Caenorhabditis elegans: one gene and its partners. The protein of the gene in region 3 purifies or fractionates together with the protein of the main gene of each other region. This does not show direct contact. Each region holds a gene or a part of one and is shown on either strand. Other genes may lie near its edges.

Evidence for each region. Proteins that work in one complex are often made in the same cells at the same time.
Region 1: the proteins of nhr-199 (region 3) and C09G9.1 fractionate together in Caenorhabditis elegans (co-fractionation; one large-scale study listed by BioGRID). This does not show direct contact.
Region 2: the proteins of nhr-199 (region 3) and C49H3.4 fractionate together in Caenorhabditis elegans (co-fractionation; one large-scale study listed by BioGRID). This does not show direct contact.

Annotation. Positions count from the first base shown.
Region 1 is NC_003282.8:8,862,066-8,867,492, forward strand, and holds C09G9.1 (Rhomboid domain-containing protein), read right to left. Parts: upstream 3,419-5,427; 5' UTR 3,257-3,418; intron 3,124-3,256; 5' UTR 2,982-3,123; coding exon 2,948-2,981; intron 2,373-2,947; coding exon 2,216-2,372; intron 2,170-2,215; coding exon 2,041-2,169; intron 1,985-2,040; coding exon 1,784-1,984; intron 1,433-1,783; coding exon 703-1,432; 3' UTR 540-702; downstream 1-539.
Region 2 is NC_003282.8:7,913,383-7,917,249, reverse strand, and holds C49H3.4 (Sm domain-containing protein), read right to left. Parts: upstream 1,960-3,867; 5' UTR 1,939-1,959; coding exon 1,727-1,938; intron 1,167-1,726; coding exon 891-1,166; intron 843-890; coding exon 659-842; 3' UTR 540-658; downstream 1-539. Other genes in the region: xpo-3 (Exportin-T), read left to right, coding at 1-10; ntl-4 (CCR4-NOT transcription complex subunit 4), read right to left, coding at 2,983-3,522.
Region 3 is NC_003283.11:15,697,978-15,701,720, reverse strand, and holds nhr-199 (Nuclear hormone receptor family member nhr-199), read left to right. Parts: upstream 1-1,821; coding exon 1,822-1,946; intron 1,947-1,990; coding exon 1,991-2,324; intron 2,325-2,383; coding exon 2,384-2,579; intron 2,580-2,630; coding exon 2,631-3,193; downstream 3,194-3,743. Other genes in the region: Nuclear hormone receptor family member nhr-53, read left to right, coding at 1-14, 264-459, 515-900, 956-1,057; srx-29 (7TM GPCR serpentine receptor class x (Srx) domain-containing protein), read left to right, coding at 3,522-3,560, 3,617-3,743. UniProt on the Caenorhabditis elegans protein: Orphan nuclear receptor.

The sequences.
Region 1 (5,427 bases), on a different chromosome or scaffold from region 3:
ATCAATTTGATTTTTATATTTTGAACCTTCAAAAACTGCTCTGCCTTCTATTTTGTATGTCACAAAATTTTTCATTTTCATTTCCCAAAATGTTCAGTTATTTAATATGAGACAATGTTTCCATTTTTATTTCTATTCTCACTAATAAACGTTACTTTTTCATGAAACTTTTATGATTGAACATATGTATGTATATAATAGAAAATACCGGAAAATACAATAAAAAAACGAGACCAAAATCTGGGACAAAAACTACCATGAAAAGAGTATCATGAGCATTGTGAGAAAGCCGACAAAAAAATTCTGAAAGTTTGAAAAATACGGAGCAACGAGAACAAAATAAGGAGAAATGCAAGTATTTAGAGTTGAATTCCATTTATTTGAGCATGTCCATTCGATGGTTGTGGCGAAGGTTGAATGCTAAAAATTGAGTCGTCTGAAAACGGGAAAAACGCAAACTAAAGGCACACAAAACATTTCAAGCATTTTGAAATTTATTGGTGAAAATTCTTATTTCGTCCGTTGTATCATTGAAATTTAAGAAAAAAAAATGTTTATTTTCCATAAAAACAAAAAATTTTGGTCACTAGAAAACAGGCACTACCGGTAAATATTAGATTGAGGGGCGGAGTTTCCAATGAAACACGGGGGAGGAAACTTTTGAATCTCAAAAATCGAAGATTCAAATGCGATAAAAAACAATTATGCGAAAATAAATCGTAAAGTTGGGCTCAAAATTGGCACACTGCCAGTTATCCAACATCCAAATGCAACTGGTACAAGAATTAAAGGGGCGTGCCACTGAACTGCGTCTAAAAATCGATCGAAATCATCCTTCTCGTTCGGGATTCGGCGGGACTTCTTTTGAATTATTTTCACAGATTTTGAAGACTTCGTCAATTTTTTCGAGGCTTGTGGTGTAAAATCCATTCTTGACGGCGGTGGTGTATAAACTCCAACATCCAGCTCTTTCCACGATGGTTCAGGAGTCACGAAGCACATGGGAGCCATTGTTTCCGAAGATCGTCTCAATTGCTTCTGTGGTGTGGCCAACTGATTTTTCTGATTCATCGTAGTCCTTCTTAAAATCGTTTCCTTCTTCGGGCGACTATGATTCAAATTATTCAATGCATATGAGTGAAGGTACCGATAATTTTCATGTCTATCTCCAGCATCTTCCAAATCTTGCCCAAATTCTGACGATGAATGTTCTGTGGCAGAAGGTGTCATTGGCATGAAAGATCCAGATTCATGGCTTTGTGGTGGAGTCTCCAATTGAACAGATGATGTAGTGTCCAAATGCAGTTCTGATGGAGAATAATATGACGTTGAAGCCACTGAACGAGGTGTTTCTGGAGCATATGATGCTGGTGGAGGTGTAACTTCTGCAGCATGAGAAGAACGGGAAGCGGTTTGCCGTCTTGACAGCACGCTAGAAATCAGAGAAATAACGAGTACTATGAAATTGGAATGTTAAACAAATGAACAAAGGTATTCTAAATATATCCACTCATTTGAATAAATCATGTAATTTTAATCCAGGTTTGGCTATAATTATTGTCAAAATTTGATAATTTTGTAAGATAGTTTTTTTTTCAATAATTTAAAACGTTCTGGACACTTTGCTCGGTTGTCATTAGAAACAACGAGAACGATGTAAGAATTTTCACCAATTGAATTTTCAAATCAAATCTATGATTCTATAACTTTTGATTACAAGTTAAATGACTCAACACAGTAATTGCACACAAAATCACACATTCACAATAAGCACAATGCCTACCTTCTAGCCGGCGAAACGGAACCTCTGCTTGATCGATGGTCGAGAATTCCCATATATTTTGCAGCTCGAGACAGTAGGTATCCACTGAGTACGGTAGCTGTCAGAGATTTGAGCCAAGTTGGCGATTTTGCTGGGATCAATGCTTTGATGAGCACTGCGGCAAGCAGACTTCCAAAATTGAACAGCGTAGATGAAAGAACACTGAAAAATCATTATTTGTTGGAATCTTTCTTTTTCTCAAAAAAAAGTTAATTTACCTGAATTCAACTCTCTCCCATGGATTCACACGGTGAAGGTGTCTTCTGAAATACACGTAGAATCCGAGTCCCACGTTGGCATTGAACAGAATCGTGTTGCTGACGGCAAGATCTCCCGTCGGAAACAGACTGAAAAAACAAACAACTAATTTAGAATTGATTCGTAGACACTTACCTTGAAATGATATTTGGACTGAACAAATGCACAGTGTAAAGAGTGTGTGAAAGTGCTCCAGAAGCAGGAAGATAGTGAGAAAGGAAGGATCGAGATGTGACTGGTGGAAACCATTTTGCCCAGTCAATTCCAAATGTACCACCACCCGATTGGATACCTGAAAATATTGATGATTATGAGTCTGAGCTTCTTTTTATTTAGTTTTCCGCATTTTTGTTGTTTTTTCATGTTTTTGGTGAAGAATTAATTTTATGCTTTTTAAAGTTTTGTTTTCCATAAAAAAAACACTCGCAATTATTAAAGTATGGAAATTTTTTTTTTAATCGTTCTCGGTTTGTCAACAAAGAAAATATTTTGGATTCAGCCCTGATCACAACTAGAAAATAGATTTTTCTGCAGATTTTCTTCCTCGAACATTTTTGATAAATGAGCGCCATCGGCGCCCACGGATCTTAACATATCTTTTATCGGATCCAAGTGATAAATAAATCTGATAAGAGAAACTACTTGTGTTATGTTAGTTTTTTCTGCATCCCACGATCAAAGTCCATAGGGTCCTCATAAAGTTTTATTTTAGGCGCTATATAAACGATAACACTGTCACTAATCATAAAACATTCCATTCATCAATTTATCAATCAACGAAGCGTTTCATTGCCATAATGGGCAGATTTTTCTTTTATGTTTATATAGTTTTTAAAATATCTTTTTCAAAGATAGTTCCACACTGACCGGATGATGATGATGGATGATCAAGAATTCCCATTATTTTAGGCGTATTTAGTAAGAGAAGAATTTGATTTCGTCGTAGTTGTTGTTCGAACACAGTCGGCGGGGGTTAATGGATTGGAAGAGCGTAGATATGGTCGGACAGGAAGAGGCTAATTGAATTAGGAATCCAATTTATTCTGAAATGAACTTTTGATTGGAAATGACCAAAACATGACATTTTTTTTTTAATCCAAAAGTAGTGAAAATACAAAAAAATGGTTATGATCCCAGTATTACATTTATACTTCTTTTTTCAAACAAAAAACTCACAGCTCACAATTCCACGACTAGCGGGTAGTTGCTCTCGTTCGAAACAAACACACAGATTGGCTGATAAACTGATCTCGTTCGTAGTTTTCTCGTTTTCTCTAACTACCTCTCAAGGTACTTAGAGAGTTGAGAAATGGGCGGAGTCTGGTTGCCCTTTGTGCTCTGCAACAACCATGTATACAACAAGAAAAAGAAGAAAAAGAAGTACAATTGTACAGATAAAATTAGAGTATATAGAGAAATGAGGTAATCAAAAGAATCTATTGGAGGGGAACACTTAATGCTCATTTCGAAATGAAAGATAAGCAACAAGTCAAACAGCAAGTGAATTGAGAACAAGAATCATTGGATTACCATCGGAAAATTGTTTCCATCAGTTTCAATGTTTATTCAATAAAATTAAATATGCTGTGTGTTGCTGAAAATTTCAAAAACAGTTTTGTATATTACCCAGACTCGAAATGTCGCAATTTTTATGGGCGAAAATACGGTATCTGGCCTCAATGCGACAATTATGTATTGCATAGAAATATGTGTGCGCCTTTAAAGAGTACTGTAGTTTCAAACTATAACAATTTTTGGCACTAAAATCCAAAATTTTCGCGTCTGGGTAATATCTAATAAGTGGAATCAATTTGGCGATTAAATTTTCAAAATTCGGAGTGACAGACTTTCAAATTCTCCATGTAGGAACGAGAACTAACAAATCCAGGGAGCAAAAATCCGGATTAGTGAATCGAAATCCACAGAGACAATCTGAACAGCAATTAGAGCGAATACTTGCGAAATTTGTTTCCTGCAGAATTTGTCAAATGAAAAAGGACATAAAACAACAAAACCCAATGACAAGACCAACAAAAGATGATGGAACAGACACCAAGAGGTCGATAAGAAAGACAGTGACACAACCGACCACAGTGGGGGAGTGAAAGAGAGGGCGCGAAAAGCAGCAGAAAACGACGGGCGGGAGACAGACGGACAACACACACAAGTGAAATCGAGCCAAGAATGATGAAAGAAATGAGACGCAGAGGTGACATTGAAGGGAAAAGAGGATGTCCCTATGGGCGCCCGCGACGCCCAAGGTGACAGGTGATGTTTTTTTTCGCGGGAATTGATGGAATTCAATGGAGAAGAAACAAAAACAAAGCAATACATCGGAACGAGCGAATGGGCTCCGATAAATCTCTGATATGAATTGCCTGTAAATGTCATGTGTTCACATTTTTGTTTTATTCTCATTTGCCATTTTATAGAACTGATAGAGCGTTTTGATAGGATTATTTCAGCAAGAAAAAGGAAAAGTTGTGTTCAACAGAAATGTGTTTGCTAAAAAATTTCTGACATGGCAAGAAAATTCATTGAATTGTTCAGCATCGCATCTTTTAAGGGCCCTTCATGGACAATTGCCAAGACCCGCATTTCGGGAATTTTTCTATTAGAGATATAGGATATCAGATTGGAAACTGTGACGTTGTCCTGAGAATCAACGTTTTTTTTTGTCAATTCCAATTAGAAATGGATATCTAATGAACTTTTACGAAGAAAGTTGATCGACTATAACTTAAACTTGTCAGCTCTATTGTTTTCGATGGGGGTGGAACATTTTGCACAACAGAAATGAGCGGATGACATGGAACAATTGAGCAGGCCTGTAGAAAACTATGATGGGCAAAAATGTCATAAATTTCGGGGATTTGGTGACGAGCCGAGAAAATGTTTTCAGTTAAATATACAATCAAAATGTTTTCTAAATCGAAAACTAGCATGAATTCAGAAAGAAAAAACATATGATACTAATTTATTAGACAATACGAATTTCGCAGAACAACTAAAACCAGTTTCTGTGATAACTGGTGTTCGTCTTCTACAGACAATCAAAAGACTTGGCATAGTTTTTCCTGTTTAGAAATTCCAAAAAATAAAACCAAGAGAGAAACGTTTCTAGAAACACGAATATATATTTTTCACATTTCTCTATAAGCTCTCATTTAGCTTGCTATAAGGCTCAACCTACAATAGTTTATGATCTTTTCATGAGAATCTACAAGAAATACTTGGTTGAGTTGAACACAAGTAGTTAAACTTGTCAACAATAAAATTGAAGTGTTTTAAACAGATGTTCAGTTAATTGAACGACGGGAAAAACGACACAACACAACTAAAAGAAG
Region 2 (3,867 bases), on a different chromosome or scaffold from region 3:
TGCTCAATAATTCAATTTCAACCATCTCCCTGGTGCCCTTTTCTCGCCGTCATATTCACCATTTTTCTTTTTTCCTCGTAATTTGTAAATCAATTGTTTTTTTTGTTATTGCGCTCAATGTTTTCATATTTCCAATTTTTCGCTTAAATGTTCTTAGAATTGGATCAAGTTGTTGTTAATCTTATTCCCCTTACCCGTATTCTGATGGTTTTTTGTTTGTTCGCTGTTCAACTTTTTCCTTCACAATTCCTAAGTGCCCTTTTTGAAAATTCTATTGAAATTTGCAGACTTGACGTTATTCGGGTGTTTTTCTCTTTCTATACTCAACAAATTATGTTCCTTCCTTTTAACATCATCATCAACATCATCATCAATGCTCCCAAAAACGTTTAATGTCACCCATTTTATTCACTTCTAGATTCTTTTCCCGTTTTGTCATACACGACAAAATTGGGTTTTCATTTGACTTGCAGTAGCTCTTTCATTTTTTTTTCAATTTGACACTGTTTAATGGTACTGAATGAAAAACTGGTATATAAAAAAGTTTTTATATTTAAAAAATTTCATAAATTTACACAACTTCAGATGATAATAATTTCATTCAGACAAAAACTGTAAAAATTCCAAAATTAACCCGTTTTCTACAATTTCATGATATCTATGGAAGCATTCGTACCAAAACAACGGAATCTCCTTTAATGAAGCATGCTCTCTGGAAACGATGTTCTATAAGACGATTTGTTCCAACTTTCATAGGCCAATTTCCACCTTCTTTCCACCGAAGAAACTCTGGCAGTAGTAGTTGCATTTCTTTCCGATTTGTGAATTCTTTTTGTGCTTTTCTGAATTTATATTAATTTAGTAAACGAAGAAGAAAAAATCATTAAAACCTTCCATGTAGAACAGTTTCCGTAACATCTTTCATCATTAAATTGAAATGTTCATCAAAAGTGGTTGGTATTCCCTCGAAAATCCGATCAATTCGAATTGCCGAACGAACTCTTACTTCAATTCTCTTTTGATTTATAACTGCATTTGCAATCATCGACATTGGTCCTTCAATTGTAATCATTTTATCGTGAAATGTTATTCCTTTTTTTTCAATTACACTTCGTCCATCAGTCATCATTGCTTCCAATCGTATTTGACGATCTCGAGCTTGTTGTCTGAAAAAATATTAAAACTTTAAAATTAATTTTCCAATAGTTCGAATTGTTTGACTGTTTAAATAATCATAGGCTTTTTGTTTTGGAATTTTTGAGTTTTGCTCGCGAAAATTGCTAGCATTCAGAGTATAAATACACACAATACATAGATAGTGCAAAATTAAGAACATTTTTAAAGTACTTTTGGTCGACTTCCAAAATTATGATACTTGAAAATTGAGTAAATAATAGATACTTTTAAAAATGTTAAAGTGTTACTATTACATAGACGTCCAAAATGAGAATTTTCGTCTTATTTTACGCTCACGGGTCTCGCCACGCAGGCATCGAGCTACTGTAACTTCATGTGTTCGTGGTGAGACCATGCGTGTAAGATATGGCGAAAATTCGCATTTGTGGACGTCTATAAAATAGTAAGACTTGAAAAACATTTCAAAATTCAATATTCGGTCATGTTGGACTATTTTAAGCCGGCAACTTCGCGACTACCATAAAATATTTTACATCTAAATTTCAAAATTTCAATTAATTGAAAGTTATATTTTTTAAAAATAACGAACTTTTTACTTATAGTCTTTTCTTTTTCCTCTCTTACAGTTCTTTCATCAAAATCACAAATTTCTTCTGCAAGTTCCGGATGCAAATCCACTAGATTTTTCTCAAATTCATCAGTTTTGAAATCTTCACTATTTCCTTCGACCCCTTCGATAAGTTCTGGATTTTTTTCGGCCACGGTTTTTAAAAACTTCTCAATATCAAAATCCTCTGCCATTTTGATTTTAAAACTACCTTCCTGAAACAATGCCAATAATGTTAAATGATGTATTATTGGTTTGTGTCTTCTTAAAATAAAAATTAGCCTGTCAACTCGTCTCGTTTAATGAAAGTGTATAAAGTTCCACCAAATAATTTCTTTATTCGCCGTACCACTTTCAAAATACAAGCAAATCCAATCGCCTAAAAGAAGAAAAGCAAATTCTACTGAATACGATTAAAAACGCCCGTCATCCTGTTCTCAAACGAGGAGAAGTGAAGATTCTGGGTGATACGTGTATGAAAGAAAATGGTAACGACAAAAACTTGAATAAACTAAACTTTCAAAAGAAAAAGAAATACAGAAACCACGTTGATTCTTAGATTAGTTGAGGGTACAACTTAAATAAAGAAATCACATGAAAACTGCCACAAAAAGAGGGAGAAAGAAAATAAAAATTTGAACGGGACGCAAAGGAGGAAAGGAATGACCAGGACAGCAGAAAAAATAAAAGAAGCTATAAATAGAACCGTCCCGTTTCTAATGTGTGAATCCCAAAAAAAAGGAGAAAAAAGAAAGAGAAGCTTCATCACGATTCAGATGGTCAGCTTTGCAGTCTGTTCACTGCACGACTGTTCGCGAGAGCAACTTTAAGTTCAAGTCCGTTGGTGTTTTAGGGGGGAAAGGAAACGAAATAATCAAAGCATTTTCTATGGGAGAGGAGCAACAAACACGAATAAGAATCTGAATTCGAGGCGGAGGCGACTCCAACAAAATGAGCTAATGATACATGTCGTAAGAGAGGACAAAATGATTAAAGAAGAGAGCCAATAACATATGAAGAATATTATTATGAAGAATAATAGAATGTGTTGGAGTTGATGATATTAAAAAAGAATCATCTACAACAACCGGGAACGGGAATAATGGGGATACACATCAGAAATTTTTCTTTGTCTTTCGAATTCGAAAATGAAGGGAGAAAACGGTAGGAATAGAAGAAGATAACTAGAATGAGGGTGTGTGGGTGCTTTTGTGTGTGTGTGTGCAATTGTGCCAAAATTATCGGTTCATCACAGAAGAAAAACCGGGTGGTGGTGGGACGGCTGATGATCGCAGACTGTTCTCATGCGACCAACGAGACATCGAATTATCATCCATAAACCGAACATTTACATTTGGAAGAAGAGCTTTGAATGCATCTTGTGCAGATTGTGGCTGCTGTGATTGATGATCCTGCATCATACTTTGATGGCCTCCCATTCCGAACAATCCCATACTTGACTGTTGCTGTTGCTGTTGTTGTTGTGATTGTTGTGTCATGTGTGGAGGTGCTTGTTGTGTCGTGGAAGATCTGTTCGTAGATGGACCTCCGAGTCCTGGAGGTGGTGCCATTCCAAATGGTACTCGAGGCATCAACATGTCATTGTACATGTATGAGTTGATTCCAGCATACATCTGCTGTTGTTGATGTTGTTGTGCTTGTTGCTGCGCTTGATGTTGTTGCTGTTGGCGATTGAACAAGTCTTGTAGAAGACTGGACGACTGTGACGACTGAGACTGATGTTGTTGTTGCTGTGAAGACTGTTGTTGCTGCTGCATCTGGAACAATTTTGATCATGGATAAAGTTTACTAACATGGAAATTATTTCAGTTTTAGACTTCCGGATGAAACCTAGTAAATTTTTTAAAAAAGTTATTCAAAGTAGGTTTCTACAAAAAATAAGCAGCAGAAGACCGTGTTGAACTAGGAAAAAGCTGATATGAAATTGTTCAGTGCATTGTTTCACTACTTTAGAGGCCCGTGAAATTGCTCCAAGTCTACATTTTTACAAATTTTGATTATTTCAAAGGCATTCTGGAAATTTTTTTTCAAACCATAGGTACCTTTATCATCGAAAAGCTGCAGAAATACACGTCTGGAGCCATTTCACAGACATCTAAGGT
Region 3 (3,743 bases):
ATAACCGGCAGGAGGTAGGGGTGATTTTATACGGATATTTGGATATTGTTAAAGGATGAAATCTGAACTTATGCTTTACATTTTTTTAATTAAAAAATACTCACAGTGAGGGTCGAACCCCCTAACTTTGTGTACAAGAAAACTCCCACTGCGCCGTTTGGGAAATTAAAAAAAAAAAAACTTTAAGAACCTCGAACATAAATTACAGAGTTTCATTTCGAAATTTTCAAAAAAATTACCAAAAGCTTAAAACTTTTTTCCAGAACCAACTTCCCCGAGCCATCAGTTTCAACGAGCTTCAAGTAGTGTATCAAAATGAGATGACTGTAATTTATCAATTCCTTTGCGAAGCATTTCCCGAGTACTCTGAGCTCCTTCCAGACACAAAACGATCGCTTTTTAAGAATTTTTTCCTACCATTCACACTTTTGGAGAGCTCATATTATGGATATTTGACGAGTAAGTTCCACTTTTTAGATAAAAATTAAAATTAAATCAAAAACTGAAATTTCAGAGCAAGAAAATGTGATGCTCATTCCTTCGGGCGACTACGTTGATTTGGCTCATCTAGAGTCATATTTCAACAATAATCATCACACGTTTTCTCAAAAAGACACTATTTCGATGTTTGCTCAGCAATTTCGAATGCTCCACACTTCTATAACTGTTCCGTTGAGTGCTGAAAATGTAGATGTTAATGAGTTTCTAGCTCTAGCGGCTATAATTCTCTGGGAATCCGATTTAGAAGTAGAAGCCGATCGGAAGAATGTTCAAGAGGAAGCTGTGAAGATTAAGAGCGCTATTATCAAGGATCTACTTTTTCACTATCAATCTATAAATGTATACGCTGACGTGGCAATGAGGCTTGGCGCTGTTTTGTCCATACTTCCTTCAATTCAGGTTTGCTGCTCGCGGAGCAACAATTTTTTGATTATAAGCTCAAAAGTTGTTTCAGAGAGCCAGTCACCGTTTCCACGAGTATATGGAAATCAAAAATCTGCTCAATTTGTATGCTCTGCCCAAGAATCTCTACGACATGTTCTCGCCAACTTCCTGAATTTTAATGTTTTTTTTAAATTTATTTTCTTAGTGTACAATAAACAAGTATTATTTTTATTTGTCTATAAAATTAAAACTTTTGTTAGAATTGTCCTGAAAAGCAGAAGTGGGGAATAAGAAGAAGAAATGTGCCGAATAAATGTACCGAACAATGCGACTTTGCAGTTGAGCAACTTTTTGAAATTTTTAATCAAAAGTAATGCTATTTTCAGAAAAAATAACTTTGGCAAATCCATAAGAAGGAGAGGATTTCGCAAATTCTGTTAATGCGCTCTGGTGGAGCATGCTCAGTTTAAAAAAAAGAGTATAATTTCGGAAAGCTGTGCAAACACGCCATGCAATTTTATAATTTTCAATAGGCACACGAGGTATAAAAGCATGCCACAACCATTGTTTTTCAAGAGTTTGTTGAGTTCTGAAATAACATCAGATTAAGCTGGAGTCCGATTTGCCTTTATGACTAATGAGCCTCGTGAATATATAATATATTGTCTCGTTAGCTCTCAGAGTGTTTGATCATATTCAAAACGTGTGTAATGAGTTCTATTTGGCAGACACATCACACAACAAATCTACCTCCAACTTTTTGATCTTACAAACTTATTTCTGCTTTTTTTAGTCTCTATATAGTCTAATCCAAGGGATTTTGTGAAGCTCAAAAATTCAAAAATCTCAGAATATTGTTATTCTTGTTTTTTTTAAATCCATTTGAAAACAGGTGCAGTTGCAGATGATAATTAATTATTCATTTATTTCAGAAACATGTTCACCCTAGCTCGTGTGTTGAACAATATTGGAAGCGCTTCATCCAATGAACCGATTCCATATTGTTTGATTTGTAGTGAGGTTGCTGATGGGAATCATTTTGGAGTAGCTGCAGCGTGTAGGTGAGTAACTTTTTCAAAAATTTTGAAATTCGTGAAATTTTCAGAGCTTGCGCTGCATTTTTCCGCCGCACAGTCCAACACAATAAGATCCACGAGTGTGGGAGAAATGGGCAATGCTTTTTCCTATCATGCAAGTTTTTATTGGTCGGGTTTCAAATATCACCACTAAGTTCAGACGCACGGAGCATGTGTAAAGCCTGCAGGTACGGTAAGTGCCTTGAAATGGGAATGCAACGATCATCGGTGCAACAGAGACGTGAACAACTCGGGAAACGTCTGAATATCTCTGATGATCGTGGAAAGCCAGTGCTTAATAAGTTGCGAAGAGCGTACGAAATGTTAATTTTAAACAGGAAACACGTGCATAATAGGCGGGAGGTAAGGACTGTTTAATTGTTCATATGAAATACTGATACCTGATCAGTGAACCATTTCAGAACCAAGCACCCCGAGCCATCGGCTTTAACGAGCTTCCAATCGTGTTTCAAAACGAGTCGACAAGCATATATCAGTTCCTCTGGGAAGCATTTCCCGAGTACTCCATGCTTCTTCCAGACACAAAACTCGCATTTTTCAAAAATTTCTTCTTGTCGTTCTGTCTATTTGAGAGCTCGTTTAATGGATGTTCAGCAAGTATGTTTTTTTTTCAGCCATAATTTTTTCATTCCATATCTAAATTTTCAGAGCAAAAAAATGTGATGCTCATTCCATCCGGTGACTACATCGATTTGGCTCATTCTGAATCGTTTTTCACCAACGATCATCAAACTTTCACTGAAAGAGACAATATTGAAATACTCGCTCAAAGGCTAAAATTAATACAATCATCTATAACTGTTCCGTTGAGTGCTGAAAATGTAGATATCTATGAGTTCCTCGCGCTTGCGGGTATCATTCTCTTGGAATCGGATTCTGAGTCAGAAGCCGATTTTCAAGAAGAAGCTGTGAAGATTAAGAGCAATATCATCAAGGATCTACTTTTTCACTATCAATGTATAAATATTTATGATGACGCAGCAATGAGGCTTGGCGCAGTTTTGTCCATACTTCCATCAATTCAAGTTTGTTGCTCGCGGAGCAACAATTTTTTGATTATAAACTCTAAAGATGTTTCAGAGAGCCAGTCACCGTTTTCACGAATACATGGAAATCAAAAATATGCTCAATTTGTACGCTCTTCCCAAGAATCTTTACGACATGTTCTCGCCAACTTCATAAAATTTATTTGTAAATTTGTTTCTATTTGATTTTTTTTAAATAGTTATACTGTAAATTTTTGATTCCAGTAGTATTAATAAAAATGTACAAAACTTTGGCAGCCACTTTTGCCGAGTACCTCAGAGCGCATTTGCAATTTCTATAACTGTTTTTTTTAGTTTGATCTACGAAAATGCGCTGATAATCTCTAGCTGTAAATTAACTATTATTTTTAATAATACATCAATAGTACCACGCCGTTGGCTAGACCGGAAATTAAAATGCACAGTTTTTCATATTTCCTTCAGATTTTTTTCATCACCATGATATTGTCTCATCAAGCTGTAAGTTACTCAGAAAACATTCTAAAATTTCCCAATGTATCAGCAATTTGTCGTCTCCGCAATCACCTTTATTGTGAGTTTTTGTAAAACGTAGTTGATAGAAGGTACTGTAAACTGCTCCAATTTCAGGTATCATTAATAGGTATCCTCTCAAATATAGTTTTAGTCCTTGCAATCCGTAAAACGTACTCCATGAATGGCTCTTTTGGGATAATCACTAAAAACCAAGCAATTTGTAATATCCTGACCTGTGCAA